2 linked regions of the Yarrowia lipolytica genome follow. The protein of the gene in region 1 interacts with the protein of each later gene in a biochemical or structural test. Links are inferred from orthologs where the notes say so. Each region holds a gene or a part of one and is shown in the gene's direction. Other genes may lie near its edges.

The links. The genes of interacting proteins can lie anywhere in the genome.
Region 2: of the proteins of YALI1_E17037g (region 1) and YALI1_E27273g, one has a biochemical effect on the other in vitro, tested with the Saccharomyces cerevisiae proteins (2 studies listed by BioGRID). The link is inferred for Yarrowia lipolytica from reciprocal best matches to the Saccharomyces cerevisiae genes VAC8 and PFA3.

What each region holds. Positions count from the first base shown.
Region 1 is NC_090774.1:1,701,399-1,705,678, reverse strand, and holds YALI1_E17037g (uncharacterized protein), read left to right. Parts: upstream 1-1,911; coding exon 1,912-3,672; downstream 3,673-4,280. Other genes in the region: YALI1_E17065g (uncharacterized protein), read left to right, coding at 1-842; YALI1_E17014g (uncharacterized protein), read left to right, coding at 4,233-4,280. UniProt on the Saccharomyces cerevisiae protein: Functions in both vacuole inheritance and protein targeting from the cytoplasm to vacuole (cvt). Involved in the formation of nucleus-vacuole junctions (NVJs) during piecemeal microautophagy of the nucleus (PMN).
Region 2 is NC_090774.1:2,725,557-2,729,030, reverse strand, and holds YALI1_E27273g (uncharacterized protein), read left to right. Parts: upstream 1-1,727; coding exon 1,728-2,933; downstream 2,934-3,474. Other genes in the region: YALI1_E27279g (uncharacterized protein), read left to right, coding at 782-808, 894-947, 1,132-1,311; YALI1_E27249g (uncharacterized protein), read right to left, coding at 3,399-3,474. UniProt on the Saccharomyces cerevisiae protein: Palmitoyltransferase specific for VAC8. Palmitoylates VAC8 at one or more of its N-terminal cysteine residues, which is required for its proper membrane localization.

The sequences.
Region 1 (4,280 bases):
ACTTTTTAGAACGATTCCATGCTGCCAACTTTACATTTCTCTACCAACGAGTCTACTGCCCCGAGGCTCGTAGGCTGGTACATTTGAATGAGCCTGAAGATGAGCTGGACGAAAAGGTCGACTTTCACATTGGCGCCGAGATTCCACAAGGTCTGGCGCGAGCAATAGCCACTGGACTGGTGCACCCTCGAACTCATAAGACTTTTCCTGCCAACAAGACAGCCAAGCCTACCGATCTACGGGGATTCTTTGCGCCCAAAAATGAGTACACAGGCGATGTCAAGCGACTTCCCGAACAGCTGCGCCGCAAGAAGCCCGTTGTTCTGGTGGCAAAGCCGGTTGACCTGGCTGTGCGAACAGCTTCTGCGGAGAACATGTTGAGTCCAACCCGAACGAAGACGTCCCCCGCGCTTACTTCCAGTCACTTTTTCTCCATCCCTTCGAGTCCCGATCAGGCTGAGAAGGAGAACAAGCCCTTCAACTTCAATACCATGTTGAGTTCAGAGCCTGACCGAAGCGACGATGACATTGAAGAAAGCAGCATCGTGTTTGGCACCCCAAACAAAGACACCACGCTACCGCAGACACCTGTGACTTGTGCCAAGCGGAAGTCTACTCTGTTTGAGGAGTTTGGATACAATGCCTCTACGCCCAAGCGTCGAGTAGTGACTCCTACAGGCTCCTCTGGTGTTGCCAAAAAGCCCACAATCACGCCCACAATCACGCCCAGTTCCACACCGCAAGCGCGTCCCAAGAAGAGCGCCATTTCTCCTCTGACCGTGCAGCGTGTTCCTGGCTCGTCTCAAAGCAATCTCATGAGATTTGCTTACAAGGCCAACTAACCTACAAGTACTAAGCTTCAGGGTTCTAGTTGACCATGCAGCATTACAGCAGCAAGCGCTGATAATCCCACGGGCTTGCTGCGCCCGATATTTAACTAATTTACATGGTCCAATTACAAGGGCCCGACGTTGATTGCAGTCTGAAATAGCAATCTGATTTCCTCCCCCAACGATGGCAGCCCCAAGAGACTCCCTAGCCTTGATTTCTGCTGGTGAACCGGTGCACCGGGGCTTTTGCAGTAGAGTATACACTGGGCACTGTAGAGTATGTCGTGCTTAGACGACGATATACGAGACGCGGTAGGGTGACTGTAGGAGGCATAGATTAGTTGACTTGGAGCGGGTTGCGGGTGTTCCAAACATGTGTTTTCGGTGTTTCCAACGCCGTATATGCGTTGCATGTAACCCCAGGCTCTCTTGACGGCTATTTTGCTTCCAGTGTACCGTCTGACCAATTATCACCATTTGCCCCTTAGTTCGTTAGTTCAGAGGGTGCGTGTACTAACAAACCCCGTTTGGGAAGCGAGGCTCAGAATCTCAAAGTATAATTGCCGGCAAAATTACCAATCTGACACACGCCAAAAAAAGAAGAGCCAAAGGTAGAGCGGGAGGGAAGCGTCAAGAGAAAGAGAGAAAGGTGCTGGTATGTCGCTGCCGGATCGGGGCAAGGGTCTCACACCTGTCACGTTGCTATGTAGGCTCCTATTACGTGGATTATGTCGCCCCTATATTGGTATTGTTGCACCGGACTTGTGCATCATAGCTCCCACCGCCGCCCTTCCTCCCCCCCGTTTTACCTCAATTTAGGTGCACTGTGCAACCCTTCTCACACACCCCTCCCACACAAAGTCTACTGCACTTTCGACGACTACACACACCACACTCTCTTGTAGCAACACAAGACCGCCGTCACACCACCACAAACGTCGACATCTCGAAAGCCTAGTTGGTCCATATCCCGGTGAAGCGACAGATTGGATACTTGACCGCCATTAATATACACACGTCTTCTGATTACCTCGACTAATAGCTAAGATGGGTGTTTGTGCGAGCTGCTGTTCAGGTGAGTATGGTACACAGACAGAGAGCGGGTCTTGCAAGGGCGAAGATGGCAGCAAGTGCTGCAGACAGAATGGGGCGACAGCGTATGTCTGGTCTCTCTTGTTCAGCTCCCCCCCGCCCCACAGTCGTCACTAACCCAGGAAACAAACAGGACGGCAACTACGCGCCCGTGCTGGCCGAGGACGAACGGGAAGCCGTGGCTCTCCTGCTGCGATACCTCGAGAACCGAGGCGAAGTGGACTTTTTCTCCAACGGGCCCCTCCGAGCCCTCAGCACTCTGGTCTACTCGGACAACATTGACCTGCAGCGAAGTGCCGCCCTCGCATTTGCAGAAATTACAGAGAAGGACATCCGGCCCGTCAACCGAGACTGCCTCGAGCCCGTGCTGCTGCTGTTGCAAAACACCGACCCCGACATCCAGCGAGCAGCCTCTGCTGCCCTGGGCAACCTCGCCGTCAACAACGAAAACAAGGTGCTGATCGTCGAGATGGGCGGCTTCGAGCCCCTCATCCGACAGATGATGTCGCCCAACGTGGAGGTGCAGTGCAACGCCGTGGGATGCATAACCAACCTGGCGACCCACGAGGCCAACAAATCCAAGATTGCTCGCTCCGGCGCTCTGCTGCCACTCACCAAGCTCGCCAAGTCTAAGGACATGCGAGTCCAGCGAAACGCCACTGGTGCCCTTCTCAACATGACCCACTCGGACCAGAATCGACAGGAGCTGGTCAACGCCGGCGCCATCCCCATTCTGGTGTCATTGCTGTCGTCGCGAGACCCCGATGTGCAGTACTATTCGACCACCGCTCTTTCCAACATTGCTGTGGACGAGTCCAACCGAAAGAAGCTGTCTAGCTCGGAGCCCCGGCTGGTGGAGCATCTCATCAAGCTGATGGACTCCGGCTCTCCTCGGGTCCAGTGCCAGGCTGCTCTTGCTCTGCGAAACCTCGCCAGCGACTCCGACTACCAGCTGGAGATTGTCAAGGCCAACGGCCTCCCCCACCTGTTTAACTTATTCCAATCCACTCACACGCCGCTGGTTCTTGCGGCCGTCGCTTGCATCCGAAACATCTCCATCCACCCTCTCAACGAGACCCCCATCATTGAGGCCGGCTTCCTTAAGACGCTGGTGGAGCTGCTGGGCGCTAGCGACAACGAGGAGATTCAGTGCCACACAATCTCCACCTTACGAAATCTCGCTGCCAGCTCTGAGCGGAACAAGCTGGAGATTGTCGAGGCCGGCGCCGTGCAGAAGTGCAAGGAGCTAGTGCTGGACGCTCCTCGACTGGTCCAGAGCGAGATGACTGCATGCTTGGCTGTGCTCGCTCTCGGAGACGAGCTCAAGGGTACATTGCTGGAGCTGGGAATCGCTGAGGTTCTGATTCCCCTCACCTTGTCGGACAACATTGAGGTGCAGGGCAACAGTGCCGCTGCGCTTGGCAACCTGTCTTCCAAGGTGGGCAACTACGACACGTTTGTCAACCACTGGAACGAGCCCAGCGGAGGAATCCGGGAGTTTTTGATCCGGTTCCTCACCAGCGGCGACTCTACGTTTGGCCACATTGCCGTGTGGACCGTGCTGCAGCTGCTGGAGTCCAAGGACCAGCGTCTTAAGGATCTGCTCAAGAACTCCAATGAGATTGTCGATGCCATCCACCAGCTATCCAGCATGAACTCTGATGGGGCTGACGGCGATGGAGAGGACATGCGGGATTCCAAGAGCGAGGTTGTCATGTTGGCTAAAAAGGTGGCTCCTTTGCTCAAATAGTAGGATGCGATGATTTATTATATATGGAGAAGGAAGACAACTAATGTATTTGTAATCGGCACTTGGAGTTGTAGATACTGTAGTTTCCATCGTCATATCTCCTTGGAGATAACACAAACTTTGTTATCGGTGTTACCTGTAATAGGCACAATGTAACCTTGTTCATTCACATGAGTGGATGAATAAAAGTGGAGGTGGTGACCTACAATTGTAGATGGATGACAATCTTAATGGGCCGGCTTCATAGACCAGTGGGGCCGTTGAGGGTGCAAACCGTGTTTTGATAGAGTGGAAAAAGCAACAATCGGGTGAGATTAAAGGTCACGTGTCCTCTTCCTGTTGGTCCGTCGGTCACTCTATGCTGTGTGTCCTCCGAAATGCTCCTGTTGTAGGCTGTGGTACACCCCCCTAGCACAGCCCCTTTAAACTCGGTCACCGTGCATAGATAGCTCCGATATAAGCATGCTCCCACGGGGAAAACAAGCCCACTACACCGACTTGAAAATTGGAACCGGAAGCGAAAAAACAAACCAACCATATCAAAACAGACAGCTATAGTTATGGATGGATCTGAAGCGAGCATACGGCACATGGAGACGACCGCGAGC
Region 2 (3,474 bases), about 1.0 Mb from region 1:
GCTGCTCCGAGTAATGCATAGACCTCAGGCACCATCAGTTCACTTGTATAATAATGGTCATATGGTGCCATTCATCAAAGCGTAATGGAAGTATATCAGCATCGATAATGAACTGAGGCCGAATACCGAGGTGTAATAACCACAGTTCTTCTCCAGAAGTTCCACATTTTTTATTTTAATATGAACAGCATCGTCATTAAACTATATACTGGAGCTCTACTCTCGTGTTGTTCCTTGGTTGACTATCTAGTTAGAAGTATGTACGTATTTAGTTTGAGGTCAAGAGTCCAACCACAGCATGTACGTACTCCTACAAGTTGCAGTACAATCTGTAAACTAAATCCAACAACAATCAATACCGAACAACAACAACAACAATCGTACGTCTTCTCCCCTCCATCTCATCTCCTTTTTCACCCTTAATTGCGCTAATCATGCACTTGGATCCCGTCTAGACAGCGTTGGGGTCAGAACACATTGTTTTCTGGTTGCTCACAGAGCTGTATAATGGACTAAATGGGACCAGTTTTCACTCCAGATCAGCTCACATTACACAATAAACCCCCCTTTGCGCCGCCCAGCTACCACAAAAAGGTCCGTTTGCTCGTCTCAACAAAAACCCCCAGCATTGATTGGGTTCCAACAAGGGCCACTATTGTGATGGGACCTCGGCACGCATGCACACTTAGTTGCCGCATTGGTAACACCCCTAACCCTAAAACTAACGCCATATACACCGCTCGAGGTGTCGTCATCTCCACACAACACCCACATTACCACCATGCCTTCCGCCGAATTCACCGCCGCTGTGAGTAGCAGGCGCCATTGAGCGATCGACCAAGTCGCACAGACACAAAGGCGCAATTGCTCCAAAAACCAAGTTACTAACTCAGGCCGACTCTGTGCAGAAGCTTCCCAAGACTCCTTCCGACGACGAGCTTCTTGAGGTGAGTATTGAGAGAAGATGAGAGCATACCCGGAGGGTCTGTTCGTGTCTCATTAACAAGGGCACATGTATTGATTGAATTGACGACACATGTTCGCATCAGAACCAGGGTGCCACGGGCTATCCAGGGTGCAACACAGCCCATATCGATCATCAGTCCGGCCCGTTTTCCCCTACTAACACAGCTCTACGGACTGTACAAGCAGGCCACCGTCGGCGACAACAACACCGACCGACCCGGCGCCTTCAACTTCAAGGCCAAGTACAAGTGGGACGCCTGGGACAAGCTCAAGGGCAAGTCTCAGGAGGAGGCTGAGCAGGAGTACATTGCTCTTGTCCAGACCCTTTCCGACAAGTACAACTAAGCGAGATTATGAGTTGCAAGTAAGTAGTTGATCCAGTATTAATTGATCTCTGATTTGACCGAGGATGAGGGGATGCCACATACAAATATTTCTGCCAGTTCATCATTCTTAGCATAGTAGAATATGTAGCGCTAGTACATATATAGTGAGTATGCACAGCCATGGTGGCAAATGGACCAGATAAGACGGCATGTAACAGTGATGAATAATCGAATATGAGACAATCTGCTTAGACAATCGGTCGGTGTACAAAACAGTTAACAACAAACACATCCTGCTCACCCTGGAGATTCTCTTTTTCCCTTACTTTTCGTGTCTGACCGATTTGATCTGATCTACTCTAACTTAGTATCAGTGGAGTGCGTCACCATCACCACACCAACCTACGCGTGCCACACGACACTCGACTCCCCGAAATGCAGTGCCGCAAATGCTGCTTTGCATGCGAAAAATGGTGCTTCATAGGCGCCAAGGCGTTCCTGCCGCTCGTCGTCAATTTCCTCATCATCTGGGCCTGCTGGGTCCACGCATGGCTGGTGTGCTGGGAACCGCAGTTGTTTGAGTCCGACACCACCTTCTGGCGCGTCTACGGCGTGGCGGGCGTGGCTATCGGCATCATGTGCAACGTGCTCTATCTCAAAGTATGCAAGGTGGGCCCCGGAAGCCCCACCGACATCGACAACTTCTCGGTGCCACTGGTTGAGTACCAGAACGCATGCAGCGCCGAAGGCCAACATCTCACGCCTCCTCGAGAGATGGCTAACTCCGTGTGTGCCAAGGAGAATGGAGGTCTACGGTTCTGCACCAAATGCATCGGCTGGAAACCGGACCGATCACACCACTGCTCAAACTACAAGCGATGCGTGCTCAAGTTTGACCACTACTGCCCCTGGTTTGCCACGGCCATCGGGTTCCACAACCACAAGTACTTTGTGCTGTTTCTGTGGTACGTGACAATTCTGTGTTTCTTCTGTCTCGGCTCTACGGGCTTTGTCTTCTACAACCACATTCTGGAGATTGGTGCCATGCGCGGCCCGGACGGAAACACAGACTACGTGGGCGCAATATCCGTCAACGTCATGATCCTCATGGTCCTGGCACTGGTGTTTGCCATCGCGGTCGGCACGTTTGCCACCTTCTCGCTCTACCTCGTGTTCAACAACCAGAGCACGGTCGAGTTTCTGGAAAGCACCCAGTACCGGTCTGCCGTGCCCACTGCCGCATACAGATACACGTTTGCGCCTACGTCCAAGACGGTCGGAAACGTGTTTGACGTGGGCTGGAAACGCAACTTCCAGCTCGTCATGGGCGACAAGTGGTGGATGTGGCTGCTGCCTATCCAGCCCAGTGAAGCGGCCCGGGGCAACGGTACCCAGTTCCCCCTTAATAAACAGGTGCTGCAAAAGATCAGAGAGGCCGCGGCTAAGGAAGTCCAAATCAGAGACCAGAACCAGGCCTACATCAAGCAGCAGCGTCAGCAACAGCAAAAACGCACACAGTACGACCTTCCTCAACATCTCCAGCCTCCTCCTCAGGAGCACTATGAGTATGACGACGAGGCCCAAGACTCTGGAGACGACATTCCATTGATCAACATGGTCAATAAGAACAACACGAAATGAGAATAAGAGGTAGCCGACGAATGAATCGGGGGCCGACAAATTCTTGGAAGCTATCTCTCCCCTCCAGCATATAGACATTGCATTTAACCTGATATATTATACCCCATTCAGACAAAGATGCATATTCAGGCAGATCTTGGACAGTATACAGATACTATGCGGGTAAATTACTGTACCCTTTAATACCATACAAGTACGTAGATGTACCACTCAATTGTGTACATACAGCTACAGTATGTACTCGTTCTTGTACTATCACTTGAACATATTCTCGATTACATTACTCTACTCAGCTCGCTGCTTGATAGCATTAGACCCTCGGGCCTTGATGGCAATCACACAAGCGGCGGTGAAGAGAAAAACAAAAAAGCAGCTGGCGTTGTGCTTCTCCCGCTGGTACACGGCCTGGGTACGGTCCCGCAGGTTATCATAGATTTCAATGGCCTTCTTTTTGGAGCCATGTAGTCAGAGCTCATCCTTGTCGGACTTGCCCTTCTTCTTGACGTCCTTCTTGGGCTCCTTGGCGTCCTCCTTGGCAGGC